Cricetulus griseus: one gene and its partner. The protein of the gene in region 1 purifies or fractionates together with the protein of each later gene. This does not show direct contact. Links are inferred from orthologs where the notes say so. Each region holds a gene or a part of one and is shown in the gene's direction. Other genes may lie near its edges. The genes, in order: Ncapd3 and Smc4.

The links.
Region 2: the proteins of Ncapd3 (region 1) and Smc4 purify together in Homo sapiens (co-immunoprecipitation; 3 studies listed by BioGRID and IntAct, with this or other methods). This does not show direct contact. The link is inferred for Cricetulus griseus from reciprocal best matches to the Homo sapiens genes NCAPD3 and SMC4.

What each region holds. Positions count from the first base shown.
Region 1 is NC_048597.1:139,549,690-139,553,514, forward strand, and holds part of Ncapd3 (condensin-2 complex subunit D3), read left to right. Parts: intron 1-1,427; coding exon 1,428-1,590; intron 1,591-3,825.
Region 2 is NW_023276806.1:84,129,360-84,133,184, reverse strand, and holds part of Smc4 (structural maintenance of chromosomes protein 4), read left to right. Parts: intron 1-141; coding exon 142-333; intron 334-1,821; coding exon 1,822-1,998; intron 1,999-2,101; exon of another isoform or gene 2,102-2,179; intron 2,180-2,238; exon of another isoform or gene 2,239-2,333; intron 2,334-3,825. UniProt on the Homo sapiens protein: Central component of the condensin complex, a complex required for conversion of interphase chromatin into mitotic-like condense chromosomes.

The sequences.
Region 1 (3,825 bases):
GAGATCAATTCTACTGAGGTGATGCAACAAGCAGAGTTCTGGTGACTAGACAATACAGTCAGAGTGGAGGTGCCCACTGCAGTTGGCATAGAGTGTAACTGTCAAGGAAAGCAACAACATACAAAAGGATTTCTCCTCCCCCTTTCTCTTCATCTCCAGCCGTGTCTTGCTATGCACTCCAGGCTGGCCTCAAACTCGGTCTTTCTGCTTTAGCCTCCCAAGTACGGAAATTATAAACATGCCACCATGCCCAGTTTAGTCTGTGAAGCAGTTTGTGCTGTGCGGTATAGGTACTCTGTAGCATTGCCTATCCCTTACCCTGTCTTTTTTGTTACTGTTTTTGGTTGTGGTTTGTTTGTTTTTGAGGTGGGATCTCACTATTATCTCTGGCTGTGCTTGAACTCACTATGTAGACCAGGCTGGCCTCAAACTGGGAGATCTACCTGCCTCTGCCTCAAGAGTGCCGGGATTAAAGGCATGTGCCATGTGCCCTGCTTTTTGGCCTATCTTTTGAAGGAAGGCAGAAACACATAGTCTGGTTTCCTGAATTTTGTTAGTCTTTGTTATTTTTAAAGGTGCCCAAGGCCTGTTGTGGTTGTACATACATGTAATGTACTCAGGAGGGAACCAATGCTGTGAGCATGTCTGTGGGGTATTTTCATGATTGTTAATTTATGTGGGAGGGCTCAGCCCCATGAGGCTAGTACCCTAACTACGTAGGGTAGCCCTGGGCTGTATAAGAAGCTAGCTGAGCAAAGGGAAGAAAGTTAGCTAGTGAGCAACATCCCTCCAAGATTTCTGCTTCAGTTTCTACTCATGTTCCAGCCCTGATTTCCTTCAGTGATGGATTGTGACCTGGAAGTATAAACAAAATAAACTCTCCTCCCAACAGGTTGCTTTTGGTCATGATATTTACAAAGCAACAAAAAAGCAATCTAGAGTACTTCTCTCATCATTATGGACTGTAAAGCAGAGATGGCTACAAACCACAGCTGGGCTGTAATCTTCAAAACCTGCCACTAGTGACCTACTTCTGCCAGCCAGTCCCTACCTCCTCAGGCTTCCACAGCCTCACAGTATGGCATCAGCAGCTGGGGAACAAACAGTAACACAAAGACCTGTGGTGGTGTTTCAGAGTCTACCAGAACACCTTAGTTTTTGTTTCCCTCTCTTTGGAGATGGCAGACATTTATAATGAGAAGTTAGACTGTGTATATGCTCGTACATGCACATGGGTATGGGTGTGTGTGTGTGTGTGTGTGTGTTGTGTTAGTAAAGCTCCAACCCAAGACTTTGCATGTTAAGCAGGCACTGAACTGTAGTTACACTCCTTATTTCTCTTGAGAGGCTAGGTCCTTGTAAGCATCAGTGAGCTTTCTTCCAATTCATCTAATTACTGGCTTTTGTGATTTGCACTCTCCTCCCAGAGCATCTGGACTTTCTTCGTTGAGAATAATATTTCCATTAATACACTGGTGGCCTTATTCTGCCACTTTGTCCAGGAAGCACATAAAAAAGGTGCCAGTGCACAGAATCGAGAATATGGCCTTCATGCTGCTGGGCTCTATTTTTTGCTACTAGAAATACCAGGTATGTATATGTCTGGCTGTCTGTGTTTATAGGTTCCACATCTGTTTACAACCAACTGGATGGAAAAAATACTTGAAAAGAAGCTGTTACATTTGTTGATACTGTGTATGTTCTTAAGCCTGTAATGATTGGGTCTGTATTGAACATGTACAGGTTTTTGTCTTAGTTCCTAACCCATACAGCAGAGCAGTTCATAGTGTTTACCCTGTGTTGGATATCTAGAGGTGATTTGAAGTACACAGGAACATGTGTGTAGTTTATATGCAAATAGCCATCTTCAAAGAGAAACAAAAGTTTCTGATTATTCAAAATTTTATGTAAGGGACTTGACTTTTCTAGTATCATCAGATTTGGTGGTATGATCCCTCGTTACTTTTTCAGATATCTTTATTTTTTATCCTCCTTATGTATTTATCTACTGCTCTCCTCACTAGTTAGAGCCTCCTCCTTTTTCCCATTTCCCTGATCAGATCACTGTGTCCTGCTCTTCCCCCTCTCTATAGCTCCCTTATTCCCCCACTCTGACAATTCAGGCTCTGAATTCATGTCTGAAGATTTGGAGCTAAGAGCTTCTGATAAGAGAAAAACATGCAACATTTGTTTCTTGGGGTTTGGCTTATCACTAATATGATCTTTTCTAGTTAACCTGCAAATTTCATGATTTCATTTTTCTTTACTGCTGAATAATACTCCACAGTGTAACTATACTACATTTTCATTATCCATTCATCATTTGAAGAACATTTAGGTTGTTTCCATTTCTGAGTTATTATGAGTAGAACAGCAATGAACATAGCTCAGCAAATAAATATGGAGTAGGATATTGAGTCCTTCAGGCATATGCTAGGAAGGGTTATAGCTGGGTCATATGGTACATGTATTTTCAGCTAGCTGACAGTTCCTCATACTGATTTCCATAGTGGCTCTACCAGTTTGCAGTTCCATCAAAATTGAGTGAGGGTTCCCTTTTGCCTACATAGGCTCCTGCTTTTGTTTTTATTGTTGATGATGGTCTTTGCCATTCTGACTGAGGTAAGATGAAATCTCAGAGTGGTTATGATTTGCATTCCTCTAATTGTTAGGCACTATGAACATTTTGGGGGATATTTCTTAGCTATTTTTCATTTGAGAATTTTCTGTTCAGGTCCGGGTCCTATTTTTTGAAGTGGTTGCTTTTTCTCCCACCCATCCCCCTTTTGGGGGGGATTCTTTGTATTTTGAGTTCTTTAAATAAAGTTCTACTTGTCAGTTGTTGGCTCATTTCTTGGGCAAATGGAGTCCTATTCAGAAAGTCCTTTCTGATAGCTGTTATCAGGTAGGGTAATACCAACATTAATCCCTATGTTTTCTTCTAGCAGTTACAATGTTTCCGGTTTCAGATTTAGATCTTTGACCCATTTGAAGTTAGTTTTTATGCAAGGCGATAAATATGGGTCTAATTTCATTCTTCTACATGTGAACATCCAATTTACCCAGCACAAATTGTTGAAGATACTTTCTTTTTTCCAATTTATGTTCTTGGCCTCTGTGTCAAATATTAAATGGCTAAAGCTATGTGTACTCATGTGGTCTTTGATTTTGTTCTATTGATCTACATGCCTGACTTTATGTCAGTATTATACTCTTTTTTTTTTTAATTGTTATGACTATTGTTGTTAAAGTATGTTTCCCCTCTCAGTGCTTTGAGTATTTTAAAGGTCTTTGTACTCTGGCTGTGTAGAACACAAATGTGTCAGCCCCATGGGAAGTGTAAAAATCATTTTTCTTCTTTTTTTTTGTTCTAATAGTTGTTCACTCACCATGATGGAGTTTTTATTGCACACGTGCACAGTGATGCTCGGCCTGCACAGAATCTTGTAGCTTTTTTTTATGTAGCTGCCCTTCTTCATAGGTCCCAGCTGCCTTGCCTTTCTGACTCTGATTCCTCTACTTTGTAAGGCTAGCATCTGCATGGATTTACCACTTCTCTGCTGAGATCCAGAAATGACCTACAGAGACAAAATTAGGGCAATTTCAGGTTTTATCTGCCCCCTTTTTATATTGATTATGTTAGATGTCTTTGTCCAATTTTACAGTGTTTTTAGTGGGAGACAAGTGTAAAATGAATTTATCTGTCAAAACCAGATCTGGGAATCTTGTTATTTATTCCTGCTTCATCAGCATTATTGGTCTGTTCTAAAGCTAAAGCTGAAAATGGCACATTTTTACTGAAAGCTCACTGTTTCCTCAGAGTCA
Region 2 (3,825 bases), on another chromosome or scaffold:
TTTTATTTCTAAAGATTAGAAAGAAAACTCAAATTATGTATTTCCTAATAATGAAAGCTTTTAAATGCCTTTAGTTTTTTAAAATTAGTAGAATTAGTGTGACTGTAAATTTAAATTTTTAAAAAATTTATTTTTACACAGCGCTTTTCCTGTATTATTGGGCCAAATGGCAGTGGAAAATCCAATGTTATTGATTCCATGCTTTTTGTGTTTGGCTATCGAGCACAAAAAATAAGGTCTAAAAAGCTGTCAGTATTGATACATAATTCTGATGAACACAAGGATATCCAGAGTTGTACTGTAGAAGTTCATTTTCAAAAGATAATTGATAAGGTAAGAAATTATTTTCTACTTGCAACTTCAAGCAAGAAAAAGAAACATCGTGGCACATTTTGTTTTCATAGATCTGAATTATTTCTTACACTTTTTGTATAATTAAAGCAAAAGAAATATTCCTTCTGTGACCATATTTACTTCAACTCTTTGGAAGAAAATACTGATTTGGGGGATCCCAAGGACTAAATAAGCATTCATTCACTGTAAATACTGGCTTCATTTTTAAGTTATACTTTTTATTGCTTTAGAGTAAACGTTTTAATCTTTAAAATGTAATAATTTACTGATTTTTGCCACCCCCATTATTCCAACATACATTAAATGTGTCATTAGTAGCAGTGTGTATGTGTGTGAGATGAAATGAAAAAAATTTTCTAAGGTTTGAACTACCGTGATGCTTTTTTTTTTTTTTTTCTTTTTTGAAATGATAGGGGGCAGGCTACTGTTTTTGTTTTCTAGAAATAAAATTATAAATAATCACCAGGTTATTTACATGGTTCTGTGGGTGTTTTTTTCTCATCTATTTAGACAGTTAATGATTCAAAAATCAACTGAAAAGAACCTAAAAAGGAATAAAGAAATGCACATAATGAAGTGGTTAGATAATATAGGTGCTGGGGGATTGTTCTCTTTTTTTAGACATAAAGAAATTTAATTTCACAAAAGCATCTATCTTAATCTTGCTTCTTAATTCATTCTGTTGTACTTTTGAGTTAGAAAATAGATTGCCAATAAATCAGATATCCAATGCCTGTTAAGTTTGAGTTGTCTAAAATTGAATATGACCGGGCCTTAAAAATGAATGAGCTTTAATGGTAAAATAGATTCATAATTGATTCCCTTTATCAGGTATATAATTGTGAGATTTTTATGGTTTTACTTTCAATTAATGATGATAGGGATGCTGGGTGCAAAGGGTATCTTGTGTTGTGCCACACATACCTGACTGACAAGCTGTTCTCCCCCACAATACCACCACCAAAAAAAGTTTCCCCTTAATATTTTCCTTAAATTATCTCTTCCTATATAGCTTTTTAACCAGTCAACATGGTTATTAGGTTGAGTAGGGTGGGGTTGTTTTAGAGACGGTGGGACTCTTGTCCACCTTCATTGGCTCTTATTCAAATACAATTTTTGGCTTGTTGAGAGCTAAAGTTTTGTTTACTTGATTTGGCTTTTGGTTTTAGAGAGCTTTGAGAAAGAAACCCAACAACTTGGAGAAGTATCTAATCCCTGCTAAAGCAATTTTTTAAAACTCATTTTAGAGCAATTGTCAATTTTTGTATATATTTAATTCAGGGGAGATAAGGACAAATTATTTTTGTGTGTGTGTGTGTGAATTTGTCAAGAAAAATACAAGAAAAATTTTATGAAATATTTAATCTATTGAATTGGTTTCAGTATAAAAGTAAATGAAATCTGGACCAGACCTGCCTGTAACTTAATACCAACCATTTTCTGGTTTTGTTTTTTCCCTAAAAACAGGAAGGGGATGATTATGAAGTTATTCCTAACAGTAACTTCTATGTATCTAGAACAGCCTACAGAGATAACACTTCTGTCTATCATATAAGTGGGAAGAAGAGGACATTTAAAGATGTTGGAAATCTTCTTAGAAGCCATGGAATTGACTTGGACCATAATCGATTTTTAATATTGCAGGTAAGTTCATAAACACTTCCAAAGTTCTTGGTTTTTAATTTTTGTTTTGTAATAAAGCTAGAAAGAGTGTTCTTCTGTTTGAATCCTGTTATTTTGGAACCTTAAAGTACTATAGCAGCACATCATGGTTTACATACTATAGTCAAGATGCGAATCATTATTTGCTGCTCTAGAAATTTAAGGAAATTCATTCTAAATGATATGGTTATCATCACATGTTCATTTTGTTTGGATATCTGACATACTTGTTCCGCTCTAGCAGCACGTAAATATTGGCGTAGTGAAATAAATATTAAACACCAATATTATTGTGCTGCTTTAGTGTGACAGGCATACAGCAGCTCTCATTTCTGTTTGTATTTCCCTTTACCATTTGAAATAAAATCTTTTAATAGTCTCCCCTTTTTGTTTGTCATTTTTTTCTAACATAAAAACTATATGCTTGATATTTAACAAAAGGAAATTCCCCTGATCACCTAATATAGTACTTTTGACATTAATAATAGTAATAATAATAATAAATGTTTACTCAAGATGGGTCTTGTTTTATTTACAGTAGCCTAATTGCTAAACCAGTAATATTAGTATCGACTCTCAGAGAAGTCTTCTAAAAGAGCATAAAAATTAATGTCTGGTATTAATTTGATATTTTATTAGACCCTGTGGGGTTTTTTGGTTTGTTTTTGTTTTTCCTTTTGGGGCGTGTATGGGTGTAAAAGTATATCCTGCTATTATAACTTGGTACAAGGAAGATTTTTGTCATTTGGAATGGAGAGGTTGGTTGGGGTTTTTTGTTTGTTTTGTTTTGTTTTTGGTTGGTTGGTTAGTGAAATATGGCTTTGTTAGATACTGTGAAATTCCTGTTTTGATTTAAAGGTCTTATTCTCTTGTTCTATCCCAAGTTACTAAGGATAAATAAAATTTAAAGAGAGAGGTTGCATATTATATAGAAGCAACTGCCAATACACTATCATGTGCTACTGATTTTAAAATAAGTTAGGAGTTTTGATTTGATATAAAATGTTTTGTTGTGGTAACTATTACCATTAACAAGTTAGAATTTTTCAAACATTTTAGACTATTCTTCAGGGTTTTTTATTATTATTTTAAGCATATGTCACATAGAAGGCAAGTAAAATTTTCTGGAATAACTTTTAGTACCCCTTAACTATCAAAAATGGTGCATTTACAATATTTCAATAAACCACTGTTACTTAAAAATAAAATTTGAAAAAAAAATCAGTTACAAATAAGATTTGATTGTAAAAATTTGAATTTATATAGATTCAGTCTTAAGCCATTGTGGGTGTTTTTGTTTTGTTTTGTTTTTTAAATTAATTGTACTGTTTTGTGGATTTCTATATTCAAGAATTTGGCTTGATAAACTATAGATTAAAAAGTTGTGTTCCTTTGTAATGCTAAATTTAAGTGGTGGTAACATTTTTGAAGGAAATTATATTCACTTTTTGTTTATTCTTTGCTATTTGCTTAGTTTTATACTGAAATAATCAATCTTGTGCCAGTGCAAAGTAGACTATATTTTAGGTCTTGTAATGTTTTTGTGTGGTTTATTTATATGTAATTCGGTAATAAAGAAAGGTAATAAAGCAATTTCCCAAAGAAATAATAGTAAAGTGTTAAGTTTATATTAAAACATATGCTTCTGATGCACTGAAGATGCTCCTTCAATTTGTCTTCATTATCTGAACCCTTTCTGTGCTCTTAAAGTTTTTACATTTTTGATTGAACTTAGATAAGAACTTTTTAGCAACTTGCCTTTTAGGAAGAAAAGGGAGAAATTGGGCTAGATAAAACTCATAGAATCCT